Linked DNA regions of Anolis sagrei. The protein of the gene in region 2 interacts with the protein of the main gene of each other region in a biochemical or structural test. Links are inferred from orthologs where the notes say so. Each region holds a gene or a part of one and is shown on either strand. Other genes may lie near its edges. The genes, in order: MINK1, LATS1 and HTRA2.

Evidence for each region.
Region 1: of the proteins of LATS1 (region 2) and MINK1, one has a biochemical effect on the other in vitro, tested with the Homo sapiens proteins (2 studies listed by BioGRID). The link is inferred for Anolis sagrei from reciprocal best matches to the Homo sapiens genes LATS1 and MINK1.
Region 3: the proteins of LATS1 (region 2) and HTRA2 form a complex in vitro, tested with the Homo sapiens proteins (2 studies listed by BioGRID, with this or other methods). The link is inferred for Anolis sagrei from reciprocal best matches to the Homo sapiens genes LATS1 and HTRA2.

The regions. Positions count from the first base shown.
Region 1 is NC_090026.1:1,089,565-1,096,885, forward strand, and holds the start of MINK1 (misshapen-like kinase 1), read left to right. Parts: upstream 1-4,227; 5' UTR 4,228-4,400; coding exon 4,401-4,457; intron 4,458-7,321. UniProt on the Homo sapiens protein: Serine/threonine kinase which acts as a negative regulator of Ras-related Rap2-mediated signal transduction to control neuronal structure and AMPA receptor trafficking.
Region 2 is NC_090021.1:73,306,957-73,313,889, forward strand, and holds the start of LATS1 (serine/threonine-protein kinase LATS1), read left to right. Parts: upstream 1-3,932; 5' UTR 3,933-4,218; intron 4,219-6,933. Other genes in the region: nucleoporin Nup43, read left to right, coding at 120-242, 1,309-1,505. UniProt on the Homo sapiens protein: Negative regulator of YAP1 in the Hippo signaling pathway that plays a pivotal role in organ size control and tumor suppression by restricting proliferation and promoting apoptosis.
Region 3 is NC_090025.1:3,653,866-3,660,884, forward strand, and holds the start of HTRA2 (serine protease HTRA2, mitochondrial), read left to right. Parts: upstream 1-4,015; 5' UTR 4,016-4,108; coding exon 4,109-4,443; intron 4,444-7,019. Other genes in the region: lipid droplet-regulating VLDL assembly factor AUP1, read right to left, coding at 3,395-3,532, 3,630-3,712.

The DNA.
Region 1 (7,321 bases), on a different chromosome or scaffold from region 2:
CAAGTTTGCCTTTTTCGCTGTGCAGTTTCTCGTTCCTGGCAGTTCATTAGTAGAGGCTTCTGTCTGCCGACATGTGCTTCGTTTATATCTGCGCATGTTTAGGTGATACGGTCATCCTCATCATCAACCTGACGGCTTGAGGTTGAAATCATGGAGGATTTTATTAGAAGGGCCTGGCCCTGTAGGAGAGACCCTGCGGACCCACCAAAGAGGGATCGCTACAATGGGGAGCAAAGAGAAGCCCAATTTAAAATAATTTCCCTAGGTTCCCAAAAAGAATCTCACCAAAGTTGAAGTGTAGCGGGAGGGTCCCCAATTTCCAAGAATCCAGGAGATCAGCGAAGAAGGAAGAGACAGAGACAGCTTTTGCAAGTTCACAGAATTTTAATCTTACCCGGGTAAGGGTGCTCCAGCTTCCCAAAATGGCTGATGTGGCACAGAGCACTGCCCCAAAAGCATCCAGTATTTATAGGCAGAATTACCTAGTTTACACATGCGCATAACTCTCTTGACATTTACACAATCTAATCAATATCAGTTTGTCCTCGAGAAACCGCGGCCAAGAACACTTGTTGGCAAGATACTATATTTTCCACTGCTCTCCTTTCATCAGCTGACCACGTTCCTAGATGAATTACGTAAAAGTGAATCTTAACTTCATATATCTCTTCACACATATATCTTCATATATGTATCTTCATATATGTTCTTTAACTTATTCAAAGCAAGCATTTCCCTTATTAATTCTTCTGTAATTACTTTCACATTATTTTCCTATATTCTTATTAGAATATCATAGGACTGAATTACCTGCTATTTACATCAGATGGAGGATAGATGGCGCTGTTGTACCATATCTTCAGATGTTTGTTTTGGATCAATAATTATCGATTTACCTTTTGAGCCAGGTTTCCTACCTCAGCCTTCAGCCTTAGCCTTGGCTTCCTCAAATATTGACTTAAGATATGGTTCCTTCCTTGTCCTAGTTCTATTTCCATCTGTTAATTTCCCTTTTCACCAGAATTCTTCCCTCCAGCCTCAGAAAAGCCTTAAAGGTAAGACTAATTCATTAATTTCATTATTTTATAATTACTTTTTTCCTAATGACTGCCACAGAAGAAAGCGCCACCAAGATGATTTTATTGTGATTCAGCTGAAAAGGATGCAAAGCAGCAATCTTTCGCCAAGCTTAGCTAACATGTACACAAATAAATGCCATTTTTATAGAAATACAGAGTTATGTGGTTCAAATCTCCCGCTCTCCGCCCCTCGCCTGGCTTGAAGGTGATTGGCTGGTGCTGGGAGGAGGCTCGGCCACCCCCCTCCAAGCGCCTGGGCCAATCACAGGGCTTCTGTGGTGCGCCAGAGCCAATCAGGAGGCTTTTGCTGCCTAGGCGCTCCAGCGAATCGGGAGGGAGGGAGGCGAGACAAGGGAATACAATGCATTCTTGAGTGGATTATGGTATCAGGAAATGTCCAGGGGCTTGGCGAGTCCTAAAATGGCCTACGAGCGAAGCTTTACTATTGTCTGGTGATTGAGTAAAATATACATTGATGCTGGCGATACCAACATAATCCGGGTTTTCCTTTTACACCAAAACAGAGGAACAATGGGGGGAAACTTAAATGGATGCCTTCAGTGAGAGAGTTGAATGTGTGACAGGTCAGGAGGGGGGAACTTTTCGAAGGCTGTGGTGGAGGCTCCTTCTTTGGAAGCTTTGAAATAGAGGCTGGATGGCCATCTGTCAGGGGTGCTTTGAATGCAATATTCCTGCTTCTGGGCAGAATGGGGTTGGACTGGAGGATGGCCCAGGAGGTCTCTTCCAACTCTAGGATTCTGATTCCCCTTGTCCTATTGTAATATAATCAAGATTTGCCAAGCAATCATTTCCCTGGTGGCCAAATCCTCCGAGGCCAGGGCATGATTCTTTGTTATTTATTTATTTAAAAGTTTTATATACCAAGCTTCTCACCTCATAAGAGGGACTCAGCCCGGTTTCCAACCATAAAAACACATACAATCGGTAAAATATCAAAATACACATTACAATAAAACATTAAAAAAGCATATATATTTAAAACTACAGTGGTCAGTCGTCATACTAAAATCGAATATACACCGTCTTCCATCCAGATCGTTGTCTCATTCTTCAAAAGCCTGTCTCCATAACCACGACTTCACCTGTTTCCTAAATGTCAGGATTGTTGGGGCGGTTCTAACCTCTGGCGGAAGAGAGTTCCAGAGTCGCAGGGCTACCACTGAGAAGGCCCTGTCCCTCATCCCCACCAGCTGTGCTGGTGAGGCCGGCGGGACTGAGAGCAGGGCCCCTCCAGACGATCTTAGTAATCTTGATGGTTCATAGGGGAGAGGTAAACAGGGCTGGAGTCGTTTAGGGCTTTATAGGTCAACACCAGCACTTTGAATTGTGCTCGGAAGCTAATTGGCAGCCAGTGGAGCTGGTGTAACAGCGGAGTAGTATGCTCTCTGTACCCAGCCCCCGTTAGTAGTCTGGCTGCCGAGCATTGGACTTGCTGCAGCTTCCGAGCAGTCTCCAGAGGCAACCCCACGTAGAGAGCGTTGCAGTAGTCTAAACGGGATGTAACCAGAGCGTGGACTACTGTGGTCAAATCAGACTTTCCAAGGTACGGGCGCAGTTGGCGCAGAAGCTTTAGCTGTGCGAATGCTCCCCTGGTCACCGCCGAAACCTGGGGTTCCAGGCTTAGCGATGAGTCCAGGATCACACCCAAGCTGCGAACCTGCATCTTCAGGGGGAGTGTAACCCCATCCAACACAGGCTGTAACCTTATACCCTGTTCGGCCTTGCGACTGACCAGGAGGACCTCTGTCTTGTCTGGATTCAATTTCAGTTTGTTCGCCCTCATCCAGACCGTCACAGCGGCCAAGCACCGGTTCAAGGTCTAGACAGCCTCCTTAGTAGCAGGTGGGAAGGAGTGACAGAGTTGGATGTCATCTGCATACAAGTGACATCGCACCCCAAAGCTCTGGATGATCTCTTGCATGTTACAGTCCTTGCAAGGAATGTTCTTTGACAATGGTCTCTGCACTTGCTAATCTCTTCCCTTCCAGGGTCAGGGCAACTTCCTCGTGCATTTTTCCCGCCTTTTCTCACTCGCGCATGCGCCCTCACGCCTCTCTGCCAAGGTGTGACTTTACTTCCGCCACACTCAATCCCTTTCCCAACACTCCGCCTCCATTAGCCCCGCCTCGTCATGGCGCCGCCGATCGGCTTGGTTTTAAAGCACTTCCGCCACTCCTGTCTCCTTTCCACGCCTGCGCAGTCTAGAAACCCTTTTTGCTTTCCCCTCCTGGAAACTACTTTGTACGCATGCGCCATTTTTCTGTGCCTCGCTCCTTCGTGCCTTAGCTCCATCCGGGGACTTTCCCTGGAAGAGGCTTCAGCGTTCAATCTGTGGTACGCATGCGTGGTCTCTTCCCCTCCCGCCCTCTCTGCCGAGGAGCGTCCACAACGCATGCGCAGTAGAGTCCACGCCCATCGAGCGTGCACACATGCGCACTCTTTTCGTTCGCCTCCCTTCTGTATGCGGATGAGCGTCCACGACGCATGCGCAGCAGAGTCCACGCCCATCGAGAGTACACGCATGCGCACTCCTTTCGTCCTCCTTCTGTATGCGGATGAGCGTCCACAACGCATGCGCTGTAGAGTCCTCGTCTATCGAGCCTGCACGCATGCGCACTCTTTGCGTTTCCCTCCTGAGGATGAGCGTCCACAACGCATGCGCAGTAGAGTCCACGCCCATCGAGCTTGCACACATGCGCCCTCCTTTCGTTTCCCTCGCTTCTGTCTGCGGATGAGTGTCCACGACGCATGCGCGCTGGAGTCCGCGCCTACCAATAGTGCAGCGGACTCTGGCACGCATGCGCGCTTTCCCCTCGCCCGCTAATGAGCGCCCGAGACGCATGCGCAGTGGAGTCCCCGCCTACCGATAGTGCAGCGGGCTCTGGCACGCATGCGCGCTTTCCCCCGTCCGCTAATGAGCGTCCACAACGCATGCGCAGTAGAGTCCACGCCCATTGAGCGTGCACACATGCGCACTCCTTTCGTTCTCCTCCTGTCTGCGGATGAGCGTCCACAACGCATGCGCAGTAGAGTCCACGCCTACCGATAGTGCAGGGAGCTCTGGCACGCATGCGCGCTTTTCCCCGCCCGCTAATGAGCGCCCAAGACGCAGGCGCAGGGGAGTCCCCGCCCACCCGCTGTTCTGCGCAGGCGCAGTGCGGCGCAAGTGCTTCCCTGTCAGTCAGTCAGTCAGTCGAAGCGAGAAGGCGAAGAGGAAGGAAGGTTTGAAGGAAGAGGATGGGAGAGACTAGGCCGCAGCCTTGAGGGAAAAGGAAAGGAGGAAGGAAGAAGGAAGGAAGGATGGCCGACCCGGCCCCCGCCCGCAGCCTCGACGACATCGACCTCTCCGCCCTCAGGGTGAGCGGGGTCAAGGGTCAGGGGTCATCTGCTTCAGCCCCCCCCACCTCCCCTTCCTGTTCCCCTCCCTCTTTCTTTCCTTCCCTCTCGTTGCTTCCGCTGCAGGAAATGCCATGGCCTCCCTCCCTCCCTGCTGAAAAGGCGCTTTTTGAGCTCTCAGGGCCACCGTAGCTGCCTGGCTCCCTTTTCTTACCTTTCTCCCTATTATTGTTGTTGTTGTTGTTGTTGTTATTGTCCCTCTCCAAAGCCTCCTCCTTTCTTTCCTGCATTCAGTGCACTTTGAAATTAAATGCCATTCACGATTCACATAATAATAATAATCTATATAAATAAAAATGTAATATTCGTTTGTGGGATTAACAGAACTTAATCACCACTGGGGGAATGGACACCAAATTTGGACACAAGGCACCTCTCAGGCCAACGTGTGTCCATCATCCATAAACACACACACACACACAAAACCCCAGCAGAACAGACTTAAAAACTCCAAAAATACACCATATATACATATACACATACACTCATATACATATACACATGCACACATTCATACATACACACGTGTATATATATGCACAAGCACACACAAATATACATATACAAATACACACATACACACATATATATATACAAATACACATATACATGCACACATATATATACACATATGCACACATATACATATACACATACATACATATACACAAATATGCATATAGACAAGCACACACATATGCAATATGCATGTATACATATAAACACACAAAATATATATATACACACACACACACACAAAACACATATACACACACTGGGCCACAGCAACGCGTGGCAGGGGACGGCTAGTATTATTATATTGTATAGTATGATCTTATGATCTTATATATTATTATAATATGTTACACTATGTTCCTGGGTTGTCAGTGTCATTTCCTAATGGGTTGTATCATCGAAACATGAGAAAAGATTATTAAACTGCGCAAACGTTGTGTCTGCAGGAAGGGCATCGCGCAGCACATTTGGCCAATGAGTGACCATCACTCATAAAAACACTAAAAAACACAGCAGAAGGGACTTAAAACCCAAAAAATACATTACAACGCACATGCAAAACTTAGAATTACTAACCAAAGTAAATCAATTAAAACCATATAAAATAACTAATAAACACATAATAAAAACTCATCTAGTACATTTTCATCATAATGAAAAAATGACTACTAAAGTGCATTAAAATTATGGGACAGTTTACAACCACCAGCTATGTATTACGTAGAATTACAAAGAAATCAACTGTCATTGGACATTGAAATTCAGTGCCATCCCCGATATACATAATTATATTATGTAGAATTACCAAAAAACACAGCACCCATTCTTCCACTTTCTGATTGCTATCATCATCATTTAATAACTTATTTATCGCCCTCCATCTGAGAATGCTCTAGGCGATTTAAAGATAAAATACATACATACAAAAATTAAAAATTAACAGAGTTCGAATGCTCTAGTAAAAAGCCAGGTCTTAAGTGCGGGAGTAAAAGGCCCGAATACCAATAATAATAATATTTATTATGTATAAATTGTCTTATTCTTATGTTTATTTAGCGTTTAATTAAGCCAAATAAGTTGTAGGTAAGCTCTAGGTTTTTATCTTGGTTTTAATGTTTATATGATTTTAACTATGTTTCCAGTTTCAAATATTTATGATTTTCCAGGTTGTTTTAGCTTTTGTACTGCATGTTTTTTTGTTCTGTTGTTGCCGCCTTGGGTCTGTGCTCAAATAAATAAATAGTAAATAAATATCCCACTTTAAAACACCCACCCTTCTTCTGCCTTCTAATTGCTATTGCACAACCCCTAATAATAATTATTATTGTTATTATTTATACCTCACTTTATCTCTCCAAAGGGGAATAATAGGGCAAATTGTTATTATTATGTTTATTTATATCCCACTTTTTCTTATCTCTACAAGGAGAACCAAAGCAGCAAAGGCAACCCCACTCTGAAGCCCTCTGATAATAATAATAATCATAATAAAGACACAGGTGAATAGAGAGAGAAAAAGAGAGAAATGTATTGGTCAATGGATGGATAGAGACACAGGTGAATTGATAGAGAAAATTGAGAAATGTTTTGGTGAATGGATAGATAGAGACACAGGTGAATGGATGGATAGATAGAAAAAGACACAGGTGAATAGATAGAAAGAAAGAGAAAGAGAGAAATGTATTGGTGAATGGATGGATAGATAGAGACACAGGTGAAGAGATAGAAAGATAAAGAGAGAAATGTATTGGTGAATGAATGGATAGAAAAAGACCCAGGTGAACAGATAGAAAGATAGAGAAAGAGAGAAATGTATTGGTGAATGGATGGGTAGAGACACAGGTGAATGGATGGATAGATAGAAAAATACACGGGTGAAGAGATAGAGAGAGAAATGTATTGGTGGATGGATGGATGGATAGTTAGAGACATAGGTGAATTGATAGAGAAAAGTAAGAAATGTATTGGTGAATGGATGGATAGAAAAACACAGGTGAATGGATGGATAGAAAAAGACACAGGTGAAGAGATAGAAAGATAAAGAGAGAAATGTATTGGTGAATGGATGGATAGAGACACAGGTGAATGGATAGATAGATAGATAGATAGATAGATAAAAATACACAGGTGAAGAGATAGAGAGAGAAATGTATTGGTGGATGGATGGATAGTTAGAGACACAGTGAGAAATGTATTGGTGAATGGATAGATAGAAAAAGAAAGACACGGGTGAAGAGATAGAGAGAGAAATGTATCAGTGGATAGATGGAGAGGTGGATCCATAAGGAGATGATAGCGGAGGACATGGA
Region 2 (6,933 bases):
GCCAATGGAAGCATAATGCTGCCCTCTAGCAACAAAATACTGAATTATTAATAGTTACCAACAGAGCATATGTCTACATTATAAACTACAAAAATAAGCTTGCCATATATTTTTTTCAGTGTGGGAAGTGCACTTTCATCCTTCCAATCCTGATCACTTGTTCACATGTTCAGAGGATGGAACTCTGTGGCACTGGGATGCTTCCACTGATGTGTCTGAAAGGAAATCTTACCTTCATACAGGTAAATCTTATTTAAGCTTCTAAGCAATTGCATTGACAAGAGATTCCCCGCCGTTCTTTTAGCACAGTAATTTTTAACTTGGCATGTTCACTTGGTTTCCATCATTATATGCATCTTCCTTGATAAAGGTGAAATAAACCTTTATGTGATCTATATTCCAGTGTGGTATAGTGTTTTGAGTGTTGGACTACAACTCAAGACCAGGGTACAAATTCCTACTCAGACAAAGAAACCTCCACTTTTACTTGTGGGGAGAAGAGCCTAAAAGTGATACCGACTTAATATTTAAATATTTGCTTTTACTCTAACTTCTCATGAAGCAAGGAGATAATGGTTTAATGGTTCTGGAGGTCTATAGCGTATAAGCTGTATTTCTGGCACATTAGTGACAAAGCTCAACACTTTAAGGATGTTTAATAGGGCTGGGCGGTTTCGTTTCGTTAATTCGTAATTCGTTAAAAATTCGTTATTTTTTTTTTAAAATAACGAAGCGATAACGAACCATTCTGGAGCAACTTAAAAACGAAACGAATTTTTAAATTCGTTTCGTAAATGCTTCGGATTCGTTATGTATTCGTTTCGTTATCGGTTTGAGTTCATTTCGTTATTATTTCCGCATGTCTGGGGCAAGTTTTATAGTTGTTTTTTGTTTAATTAGTGAAAAAAAATTATAATATCACACCAACAGTCAACAACAGAGGGAGAGGGAAGCTTCAGAAGTTCCCCCTGTCCCATTTGGAGGTTTTTTAGCGTATTGCGCGGTCGCGTCCGCCATTAACGAATCGATTCGTTATTGTTTCGTATTTGTTTCGTTAATGTTTCGTAATTTTTTTTTACATTTACGAAATTTCATAAATATCGAACTTTTTAAAAGAAAAATTTCGGAATTCTTTTAAATATCGAAACGCAAAAACCCCCAAAAAACGAATCGATTTTAGAAACAAATTTTTCCGTTGTTACCCAGGCCTAATGTTTAAGTATAAAGTGCATGTGCTTGTCTTAACTATTACATTAATCTGCAAAATATGCAGTTGTGATGATAACTATTTTTGTGTTTTGTTTTCAGGTGGGAGAAGTACCACATTTTTGCCTCAGTCTCAGTCTGTGATTAGTGCATGGTTAAGGAACGATCCTACTAGAGAAATCACAAATTTAATTTCAAATCCTACACTGTCTGTTAATAGTTTAGATGTCTTAGGATCATGTCTTGTATATGGAACTGATGCAGAATCTATCTATGTTAAGAAAAACTTCTTCGCATAGTTATCTTTAGCTCTGACTCGAAACTTTAGCTTCACAATACTGAATTTCATGTTATTTTATGTCAATTAAGAATATAGAAGGGCAAATGCAATACAATCCATGTTACAGCATTAGTTTTTTTAATCTAATTCTTGCATAAAATAAACAGTAAACAGTTATTGTTCATAAATTGATTATTTCTGTTTCCCAGAAGTTTACCAATGCTGAAAACTACAACAAAGGATAAAGTGACCCATATCAGCAGTATGAACTGTGTTATATTGTGTTAACCATAATGGCAACACAACATTCTAAGCAAAAAATTGTTTTCATTAAATTCTGATAAATAAAAACACAATATATTACATTTAAGAGACTTTTCGGCAATGTTAGAAGAAAATATCATCCAGCAAAGGAAAACAGAAACAGATCATTAGGTACAAAAATATTTTATCTATTTCACTAAAGCAGAGGTGAATAAGTGTGTTAATAATCTATACCCTAATACTGACCAGATTGGGAACTGGAACCTAATATCCAGAGAACTTCAACTGCCCTGTTCCTGCAGTAAACTATAAAACAACATTTAGCCTATATTTCATTAGAGCCAGCATTGTGTTGTGGTTTAAGCATTAAACTATGGCTGGAGGCAAGAGTTCAGTTTCTTGCTTGGCCGTGGAAACCCACTTTTTGACCTTGAGAAAGTCAAATACTCTCCACCCCAGAAAACCCATTTATATAGTTGCCATAAGTCAGAAATATTGTGAAAGCATACATCATTAGCATTTCATTTCTATTATCATCCTGGCATTACTTGATGGTAAATCTCAAGGATTTTCAGTCTGCCTGATTTCAGGATCAGTATGCTGAGATTTAACCAGCTTCCTGGTTCTACACCTTCATCACTTCCTCAGCCCTATGATACCCTGTTTCCATTATTCCTTGCCCAGCCCTTTTATAGTTAACCATGCCCGTTTTATAGTCCTGGACATTGGTTTTTGTTGAGCCTTGTCTGATGGGAGTTATAACTGCAATCAGTTTAAATTTTTATTGTTGTGTTTAGTAGGATTTTTGTGTTTTATGATGCTTTTATTTTAATCTGTGATTTTTATTTTTATTTTTTTTTGGCAATTGAATGTTTTGCCTTTTATGTTGGAAATCACCTTGCGTCCCTTTGGGGAAATAGGGTGGGATACAAATAAGGTTTTGTTGTTATTATTATACTGCCATATAATGTAGTTTCAGAATGCAGATTGGACTGGATTATATGAGTCTACACTGTCATTTAATACAATTCACAGGAAGGCCTGAGGCTGCGAGAAATGCGAGATCCAGCCTTAGAAATGGTGGGAGTTGAAGTCCAAAACTGCAGGGAGGGCCCAAGTTGGCCCAGGCCTGAGTCAAACTGCTAAACAATTGAGGGGGAAAAGAAAGGGGCCTGAGGCAGGCCTGTAGCAAGGGGGGGGGGGGTTAGGGGTTCAACCCCCCCCCCCCCCCGAAATGTTTCAGGTTAAAAAAAAACTGGTTTACTCATGAATTTTAACTGGTTAACCAAATCCCCATGCTAAGTCTATGAGACACAAAAAATTAAGAGTCCCTCCAGAACTGCAAGCACTATTTCAAGCAAATATTGACAATTTATTCACACTGTCATTACTTGCAGCAATAGCTGATGTAGCGAAGCAACCAAGTTGGGTGTGTGTGTGTTGAATGCTCTCATTAAGGAGGGCAGACTTGGTGGAGGTGGTTGACAGGGGCAGAGCTGCAGGCTATTGAAGGCTGCTCTGTCCCCTGCTGTACTCTTTGCTTCAGCATGAGCTAAGAGGCAGGTTTCAACTCCTCTCCCCACCCCCGAAATTTTCAACCCTCCCCAAAAAAATTTTCTGGCTACGGCCCTGGCCCGAGGCTGCGAGGAATGGTGGGAGTTGAAGTCCAAAAGGCCTGCAGGGAGGGCCCAAGTTGGCCCAGGCCTGAGTCAAGCTGCTAAGCGGCTGAGGGGGAAAAGGAAGGGGCCTGAGACTGCGAGGAATGGTGGGAGTTGAAGTCCAAAACACTTGCAGGGAGGGCCAAAGTTGGTCCAGGGCTGAGTCAAACAGCTAAGCAGCTGAGAGGGGAAAGGAAGGGGCCTGAGGAATGATGGGAGTTGAAGTCCACAACACCAGGAGGGAGGGCCCAAGTTGGTCCAGGCCTGAGTCAAACTGTTAAGCGGGCGAGGGGGAAAAGGAAGGGGCCTGAGGCTGCGAGGAATGGTGGGAGTTGAAGTCCAAAAGGCCTGCAGGGAGGGCCCAAGTTGGCCCAGGCCCGAGTCAAAGAGCCCTCCTCCAGCCGTGGTGTGGCTGAGGCGCCCGCTCCCTGCCTGTCTCGGAGGCGGCGCCCGAATGAAGGCCTCCTTCTCCAAAGGGGGGGGGAGAGGAAGGGTGCGCGAGAGCAGACTGCCGGCGAAACGCGCAAAGGAGGCCGGGAGAAAAGTTTTCACATCCGGGAACCTGGGGCGAGAAAGAGGCCCACCGACAAAATGGCAGCCCGGAACTGAACCCCGAAAAGAGGGAGGGGGAGAGCTGGCGAGGGGAGGGACGGGACAGGACGCCGCTGTCGCTGCCATAGTGCTGGGGGCCGAAGCCGCGTAGACGCCGACACCACTCTCTGAGCAGCCCCCGAAGCCGAGGCCTTGTCCCCGCCTCGCCTCCCCCCCCCCCCCCCGCGTCTCTCTCTCTCTCTCTCTCCGGCAAAGCAGGTGGGTGGCAAGGGCTGGCTCGCGCTCCGCCTCAGGGAAGGCCGGGAAGGCCCTGCGCGCGACACGCCTCGGCCTGCGGTGTGGTCACGTCGGGACAAAAACCGCTCCCCACGTGTGTTCAGTCAGGATCTGTTCGCATGGTGTGAATCGGAGAGGGAGGCATAGAGCAAAAAGATAGGCGAGGTCTGGACTCTCCGTGGGAAAGACACTCCAAAATAAGGGAGTTACCAGGGCCTTAAAAGCCACGAAGCGGATGAAGGAGAGACCCTTTATAGGCCCCTTCCACACAGCTGAATAAAGTCCCACATTAGCCGCTTTGAACCTGGACTATATGGCAGTGTGGACTCAGGTAACGCAGTTCAAAGCGCATATTGTGGGATTTTCTCCCTTGATATTTTGGGTTATATGGCTGTGTGGAAGGACCATGAGAGAGCTTTTCTTGATATTCTTGTGATGATGTTAAGACTTGGGGCCCTTCCACACAGCCCTATATCCTACAATATCAAGGCAGAAAATACCACAATATCTGCTTTGAACTGGGTTATCTGAGTCCACACTGCCATATATTCCAGTTCAAAGCGGAAAATGTGGGATTTCCTGCCACGATATTCTGGGATATAGGGCTGTGTGGAAGAGAAAGCCTTCTCTCACAGCTCTTATATGGCTTTATGGAAGGGCCCATAGCCTATATCAGGCTTGGGCAAACTTTGGCCCTCCAGGTGTTTTGGACTTCAGCTCCCACAATTCCTAACAGTTGAAGTCCAAAACACCTGGAGGACCAAAGTTTGCCCATTCCCGGTGTCTCTCTCTCTCGACTTTTAAGTCACTTCACTCCCTTGCACCTGTTGGTTATTCTGCCTTCAGAGATTAGTGTCTTCCATATGTCCTGATTGGTGTTCCCTTTGTTTTGTTTTATGACAAGTCAGCGAATATCTCGTAATTATCCAGATTTTGCTATAACCATCTTTTCTGTGGACAATATTTCAAAGCAATTATTTGGATCAGAAGCCGGAAAAATCACAAAGAATGGGTGATGCAAATCCAACACAGAATTATTTATTTATTTATTACCTTTCTCGCCCCAAAGGGGACTCAGAGAAGCTTACAAGTAATATACAATACAATAAATAAAATAAATACAATATCTTCTTGGATCCCTAAAAATATGGAACGCTTCATGAATTTGCGTGTCATGCAATTGGTCTGTAATTGGCTCTTTCTCTTCCTCATATTAAAGAATGCAGTCACCTTTAGGGACACAGATTTGTTGTATGTTTGAATTCCAACATTTTAGCTGGCACAGTGAATTCAAACAATGTGCAGTTGCCTTTTTCAAGAAAGTAAGGCCTCTGCTTTTGTGTATTTTGATGCTGCATGTTGTCATTTTTAAATATTAGAATTGCTAGCTATATAAACAATAAGAAGTAATAAAATACACAACTTTTTATATTGACAGTTTGATGTCTAACATGAAGATGGCCTCAAAGGAAGTGAAAAAGGAAATGGGAAATTAATATTTAGGGCTAATGCAAGTTAACCATTCCTTATCAGAAATTCTTGGGCCCCAAAGTGTTTTGGATTTTGGGATAACTCTATTTGCATGTATGAACACAATGACATAGCCTGAAAGTAATGCTATATACAGTATTGGAAATTTTGTGCACGGAAGAATGTTTGTGTATATTGAACTGTTAAAAAGCAGATGTGGCACTATCTTAGCCACAGTTCTAGACCATTGTGAATTTTGGAGTATTTCAGAATTCTGAGTAAAGATGCTCAACCTTTCTATTTTACTTTAAAGAAGGAGTTGAGATACTTAGAAAAGGTTGCAACCCAACATATTGAAGGTTTGAACCTTTTCTATGGCATCGCAGAAATAATATAGAAATGCTAATGGATCCAGGAATAAAAAGTATATTTGTGAGGGAGGAGTCCAAGAATGGGGAGCAGTGGGGTTTGGCTTTATTAAGGACAGGGGGAAAGTGCATCGTGAGGACAACTATGGATGGAAACAAACAAAATGGGTTGCATGGTCACTCTCCGAAAGCACATCAGAATAGCCAAGTTTTTAGATCTTTCTTAAAGGCTGCTAGGGTGGGGGCTTGCCTAATCTCCCCGGGTAGCAAGTTCCAAAGTCGGGGGGCCACAGCGGAGAAGGCTCTCTCCCTTGTTCCCATAAGTCGTGCTTGTGATAGAGGAAGGGCAAAAGGAGGGCCTCTCCAGAAGATCGAAGAGATCATGCAGGTTTATGGTAGGAGATGCGATCACAAAGATAGGCGGTCACAAAGGATGGGAGAGAAAGCTTCAGTGGAGACACCATTTCTCCATGATAACTCTTTCAGGAGTGAATTTCTCTTCCTAGGACTAAATGTCTCTCACTTCCTGTTGTCTCTTCCCCATTTGTAAGTTGAATGTTTATAATGCGGGGACTGCCTGTACTCATGTATAAGATAAATTTATTATATGTCAAGAAAGGGGTTTGGAGCCAATCGTATGGATTTTGCTTTGACTCATGGAGAAGTTCAGGTTAGAACTTCGGGGCATGCAGGAAACAAATTGTTTCTTTTTAAAGATGTATAGAGGGAACATTCTTAGAAAAAGCTAAAAAGAGATTATTTGAGGTGTTACAATTTGAGTGTGTGTGTGAAATAGGGGCTAACTTGCATCACTGATCTTAAAATGTCCACATATATAGAAATAACAATAGAGAAAGGA
Region 3 (7,019 bases), on a different chromosome or scaffold from region 2:
ATACTATTACTTACTTACTTAAGTCCTCTTTGCGGACTCTTGTCCTTAGCTGAACGTAGCATTTGTTGGATTTTCTTAGTGAGTCTGTAGATAGTTTGTATTTTGTGTTTCCTCATCTGCTTCCCTGTGTGGTCAGTGGTTCCCTTGCTGTATGGCAATCCAACAAATGCTACGTTTAGCAAAGAACAATTTCTGCAGGGGTACACCATATACCATGCAGCTGTGGACAAGTCTACCAAACGCAGCAGCATTGCCCAAACACGAGTCAAGGAACATGAAAGGCACTGCAGACTACTTCAGCCAGAGAAGTCAGCCATAGCAGAACACCTGCTGAACCCACCTGGACACAGCATTTTATTTGACAACACAGAAATCCTGGACCACTCTCACAACCACCAGGTCAGACTACACAGAGAAGCCACTGAAATCCACATGAACCACATGGACTAGTTGAAGCTTCCGGACCGTCTTCAAAGGCAACTCCACACTTGCCTCCAACAAACAAGAGTTCTTTCTCCCACCCTGAACCTTCCAGATATATAAACCCAATTTTCCAGTTTCCAACAAACCTCACAGTCTCTGAGGATGCTTGCCACAGATGCAGACAAAACGTCAGGAGAGAATGCCTCTAGAACAGGGGTCCTCAAACTAAGGCCCGGGGGCCAGATACGGCCCTCTAAGGTCATTTACCCGGCCCTCGCTCAAGGTCAACCTAAGTCTGAAACGACTTGAAAGCACACAACAACAACAATTCTATTTCATCAGCCAAAAGCAGGCCCACACTCACCACTGAAATACTAGTAAGTTTATATTTGTTAAACTAGCTCTTCATTTTAATTTTTGTATCGGATTGTTGTAGGTTTTTTTGGGCTATCTGGCCGTGCTCTAGAGGCATTCTCTCCTGACGTTTCACCTGCATCTATGGCAAGCATCCTCAGAGGTAGTGAGGTCTGTTGGAACTAGGAAAGCCACATCATGAGGAGACAGCAAAGCCTAGAGAAGGGAATGATGCTGGGGAAAGGGGGGGCCGACCAAGGGCAAGATGGATGGATGGCATCCTTGAAGGGACTGGACTGACCTTGAAGGAGCTGGGGGTGGTGACGGCCGACAGGGAGCTCTGGCGTGGGCTGGTCCATGAGGTCACGAAGAGTCGGAGACGACTGAACGAATGAACAACAACATATCTGAGGAATGACCAGAGTGGGACAAAGAACTCTTGTCTGTTGGGAGCTAGGGGTGAATGTTTCAACTGACCACCTTGATTAGCATTTGATGGCCTGGCAGTTTTTTGGTATGGCTTGTTACTGCCTGGGGAAATCTTTTGTTTAGAGGTGATTAGCTGTCTGGGGCTGAGAGTTCAACTGCTGAACAGCTCTCACAGTCAGGAAGTTCTTAAAATCATAGAATCATAGAGCTGGGAGAGACCTCATGGGCCATCATCCAGTCCAACCCCATTCTGCCAAGAAGCAGGAATACTGTATTCAAATCAGCCCTGACAGATGGCCATCCAGCCTCTGTTTCAAAGCTTCCAAAGAAGGAGCCTCTACCACACTCTGGGGCAGAGAGTTCCACTGCTGAACAGCTCTCACAGTCAGGAAGTTCTTAAAATCATAGAATCAAAGAGTTGGAAGAGACCTCATGGGCCATCCAGTCCAACCCCATTCTGCCAAGAAGCAGGAATACTGCATTCAAACCACCCCTGACAGATGGCCATCCAGCCTCTGCTTAAAAGCTTCCAAAGAAGGAGTCTCCACCACACTTCGGGGCAGAAGTGAGAGAGTGTGCTGGTGGTGATGGGGGGTGCCTGGCTTGGAAGCAGTATGTGTGAAAAAGATCTTGGGAGTCTTCGTGGACAACAAGTTAAACATGAGCCAGGAATGTGATGTGGCAGCAAAAAAAGCTAATGGGATTTTGGCCTGCATCAAGAGGAGCCTAGTGTCTAGATCTAGGGAAATCATGCTCCCCATGCTCTATTCTGCCTTGGTTAGAATATTGTGTCCAATTCTGGGCACCACAATTCAGGAGAGATATTGACAAGCTGGAATGTGTCCAGAGGAGGGCGAGTAAAATGATCAAGGGTCTGGAGAACAAGCCCCATGAGGAGCGGCTTAAGGAGCTGGGCATGTTTAGTCTGAAGAAAAGAAGGCTGAGAGGAGATATGTTAGCCATGGATAAATATGTGAGATGAAGCCACAGGGAGGAGGAGGGAGCAAGCTTGTTTTCTGCTTCCCTGGAGACTAGGACGCAATGGAGCCATGGCTTCAAACTACAAGAGAGGAGATTCCATCTGAACATGAGGAATAACATCCTGGCTGTGAGAGCCATTCAGCAGTGGAACTCTCTGCCCCGGAGGGAGTGTGGTGGAGGCTCCTTCTTTGGAAGCTTTTAAACAGAGGCTGGATGTCCATCTGTCAGGGGTGATTTGAATACAATATTCCTGCTTCTTTGTAGAATGGGGTTGGACTGGATGATGACCCAGGAGGTCTCTTCCAACTCTTGGATTCTATGATTCAGGAAGTTCTTCCTCATGTTCAGATGGAATCTCCTCTCTTGGAGTTTGAAGCCATTGCTCCATTGCGTCCTAGTCTCCAGTGAAGCAGAAAACAAGCTTGCTCCCTCCTCCTACCTGTGGCTTCCTCTCACATATTTATACATGGTTATCATATCTCCTCTCAGCCTTCTCTTCTTCAGGCTAAACATGCTCAGCTCCTTAAGCCGCTCCTCATAACGCTTGTTCTCCAGATCCTTGATCATTTTAGTCGCCCTCCTCTGGACACATTCCAGCTTGTCACTACCTATTTAATGTTTTAAAAAGTACTTATAACAGGCCCTCCAGTCCAACCCCATTCTGCCAAGAAGCAGGAGTATTGTATTCAAAGCACCCCTGACAGATGGCCATCCAGCCTCTGTTTCAAAGCTTCCAAAGAAGGAGCCTCCACCACACTCCAGGGCAGAGAGTTCCACTGTTGAACAGCTCTCACAGGCATAGAATCATAGAATCAAAGAGTTGGAAGAGACCTCATGGGCCTTCATCCAGTCCAACCCCTTTCTGCCAAGAAGCAGGAATATTGCATTCAAAGCACCCCTGACAGATGGCCATCCAGCCTCTTTTTAAAAGCTTCCAAAGAAAGAGCCTCCACCACACTCCGGGGCAGAGAGTTCCACTGCTGAATGGCTCTCACAGTCATATAATCCTAGAATCCTAGAGTGGGAAGAGACCTCCTGGGCCATCATCCAGTCCATCCCCATTCTGCCAAGAAGCAGGAATATTGCATTCAAAGCACCCCTGACTGATGGCCATCCAGCCTCTGTTTCAAAGCTTCCAAAGAAGGAGCCTCTGGGGCAGAAGTGGGAGAGTGTAATGGCAGTGATGGTGGCGAGGGGTGAGCCTGACCTCCTGGGGGCGCTGTCGGGGAGGGCGCAGCTGACGAGGAAGACGTGGAGTCCGACGAAGAGGCGCAGGAGGAGCAGGCAGAGGCCCACGGGCGCGTAGAGCAGCAGCGCCACCGCCAGCAGGCCGTCTCCCGGGAGGCTGCGGGAGAGAAGGAGACAGAGAGAGAGAAAGAGAGGCGTGAGGGTCTGAGGAGAGAGGTAGGCCCAAATCCACTGCGCCGCGCTCCTGCCCTCACCGGTGCGAGTCGAAGAGGCGCTCGGGCCCCACGGGGGAAGGAGAGGCGCCCGCTGCTGCTGCGGAGGGCGGCGCGGGATCCATGGCTTCTCCCCGGCGCCTCCCGCCTCTCCTCCTTCCCTTCCCGGGCTCTCCCTCAGCGCTCCCAAGGCCCGGCGGCCATCTTGGCGTCGCCTCCTCGCACAGGCCCCAGTTGGGCGGAAATGCGTCACCGCGTAGCACAACCCTGAGCCCTGATTGGTTCCCCGCCCGGAAGTGACCAAAAAGCGCCTCGGACTACACTTCCGGTCGCCTCCTCGCACAGGCCCCAGTTGGGCGGAAGTGCGTCACCGCGTAGCACAGCCCTGCGCCCTGATTGGTTCCCCGCCCGGAAGTAAACAAAACTGCGCTTCGGCCTACACTTCCGGTGGCGCCGCGGCCTACACTTCCGGTGTTACTCCCAGGGAGTCTCTTGTTTCCTTCGCCCGGGGGATAGGGAGGATGTGGCCGGCGGGGATGCGGAGGGGTTTGTGCTTGGCGTTGGGAAAGAGGGCGGTCTTCTCAGGCGGAGGAAGGCCTCCTTTTCCTCCTCCTTCTCCGCCGCCGTCTCCTCCTCGTTGGCGTTGGGCAGCCATGGGAGCGTGCGGAGCGGGGGCCGGGCTGCTGCTGCTGTTCTTCCTCCCTCGCAAACGGCGGAGGCCCGAGGAAGGCCTGGTCCCCGCGCTCTTGGCCGCCGTGCCTTCCCCGCCGCCTTCCCCGCGCACCACTTACAACTTCATCGCCGACGTCGTGGAACGGACCGCCCCGGCCCTCGTCTACATCGAGATCCTGGGCAGGTGCGCCTTTAGGGTTATTATTTAGTATTATTGTGCTGTCGCACGCTGGGCCTGTGCATAAGACTGTATTGTTGTTGTTCATTCGTTCAGGCGTCTCCGACTCTTCATGACCTCATGGACCAGCCCATGCCAGAGCTCCCTGTGGGCCGTCACCACCCCCAGCTCCTTCAAGGTCAGTCCAGTCCCTTCAAGGATGCCATCCATCCATCTTTCCCTTGGTCGGCCCCTCTTCCTTTTGCCTTCCACTTTCCCCAGCATCATTCCCTTATCAAGGCTTTGCTGTCTCCTCATGATGTGGCATTCAAAGGACTTCCACTTTCCCTCTAGTCTCCTTCCCTCCAGTGAGCAGCCGGGCTTTCTTTCCTGGAGGATGGACTGGTTGGATCTTCTCGCAGTCCAAGGCACTCTCAGCACTTTCCTCCAACACCACAGCTCAAAAGCATCTCTCTTCCTTCGCTCAGCCTTCCCTAAGGTCCAGCTCTCACATCCGTAGGTTACTACAGGGAATACCATGGCTTTGACTAGGCGGATCTTTGTTGCCAGTCTGATGTTTATTTATATATATATAAATAAATACAACGCATGCACGAAACCACATATAGATATGCAAACACACATATGCACACACATATACACACACCACATGTGCACAGACTGGACCGCACATTATAATGCATGTGGAAAACCACATATATACATATAAACACAAATATATGTGCGCGCACACATATATATATATAAACACAAATACACACACACACACACATATATACACACACAAAACACATATACACAGACAGGACTACAGCAATGTGTGGCAGGCACAAAACCACACACACATCACACATATACCCAAATATATATAAACACACAAAACACATATACAAAGACTGGGCCACAGCAACACGTGGCAGGGGATGGCTAGTATATAAATAAAAATGTAATGTTCGTTTGTGAGATTAACAGAACTCAAAAACCACCGGGGGAATTGACACCAAATTTAGACAGCATACACCTAACAACCCAATGTATGTCCTTCTCTCAATTTGATTTTGTCATTTGGTAGTTGTAGTTTCTGGGATTTATAGTTCACCTACAATCAAAGAGCATTCTGAACTCCACCAACGATGGAATTGAACCAGGACTCCCATGACCAACAGAAAACACTAGAAGGGTTTGATGAGCATTGACCTTGAGTTTGGGAGTTGTAGTTCACCTACATCCAGAGAGCACTGTGGACTCAAACAATGATGGATCTGGACCAAACTTGGCACAGATATTCAATATGCCCAAATATGAACACAGATGGAGTTTAGGGAAAATAGACCGTGACATTTGGGAGTTGTAGGTACTGGGTTTTATAGTTCACCTACAGTCAAAGAGCATTCTGAACCCCACCAACGATAGAATTGGGGCAAACTTCCCACACAGGAACCCCATGACCAACAGAAAATACTTGAGGCCACCCAGTCCAACTCTTCACCAGGGCAGGAAAATGTAATCATAGCCCTCCTGACAATGAGGAATCCAGTCATAAATATAGATGTATATTATTCTCTCTCTCACACACAGATATAGTATCATAAATTTGAAAGGGACCTCTAAAGAAGGACAATTATATGTTGCATGTTCCAGAGTAGGCAAACCAGACACTCTCCACATCAACACTGACGAAGAAACAACAAGAAATACTGTTTACCCACAAGCAGAAAGACTACATAGATTAGAAACCAACACTTTCTCATTACTTTATTTTCCAGATCACCAGATTGGGCCACAGCAACACGTGGCAAGGGATGGCTAGTAATAATAATAATAATAATAGGACTCGGGGCGGTTTCCAACAAAAGTGACAAACATTAAATGCCAGAAACTAACAAACTGTAAATTAAATAAAAACAATCACAATATAAAACTTACAACTATTCCAAAAAGTAATCAACATTATTAAATATTAACAGATTAGAAAAAGTATAAAGTATAAGACATTACAAAAAATTACAATATAGTAGAACGAACCCACCAGGACTTTGAGATCATACGGGGAGGCTCTGCTCTCGATCCCGCCTGCTACACAAGCACAGCTGGCGGGGACGAGAGATAGGGACTTCTCGGTGGTGGCCCCTCGGCTGTGAAACGCCCTTCCCACGGACATTAAATCGGCCCCATCGCTAATGGTATTCCGGAAAAAAGTGAAAACCTGGTTATTTGAACAGGCGTTTGAATAGACAGTGCAATGAGTGAATGAACATAGGAATGGAGGAATGGATGACGATTTTGGATCATGTTTTTAGTTATGAGACGTTAGTGTATGATTACTGTTGTTAATTGGTTAATGTGTTTATGATGTAATTGTTTTATATACTGTGTTGTTGAAGGGTCTAGAGAACAAGCCCTATGAGGAGCGGCTTAAGGAGCTGGGCATGTTTAGCCTGAAGAAGAGAAGGCTGAGAGGAGATATGATAGCCATGCATAAATATGTGAGAGGAAGCCACAGGGAGGAGGAGGGAGCAAGTTTGTTTTCCGCTTCCTTGGAGACTAGGACGCAAGGGAACAATGGCTTCAAACTACAGGAA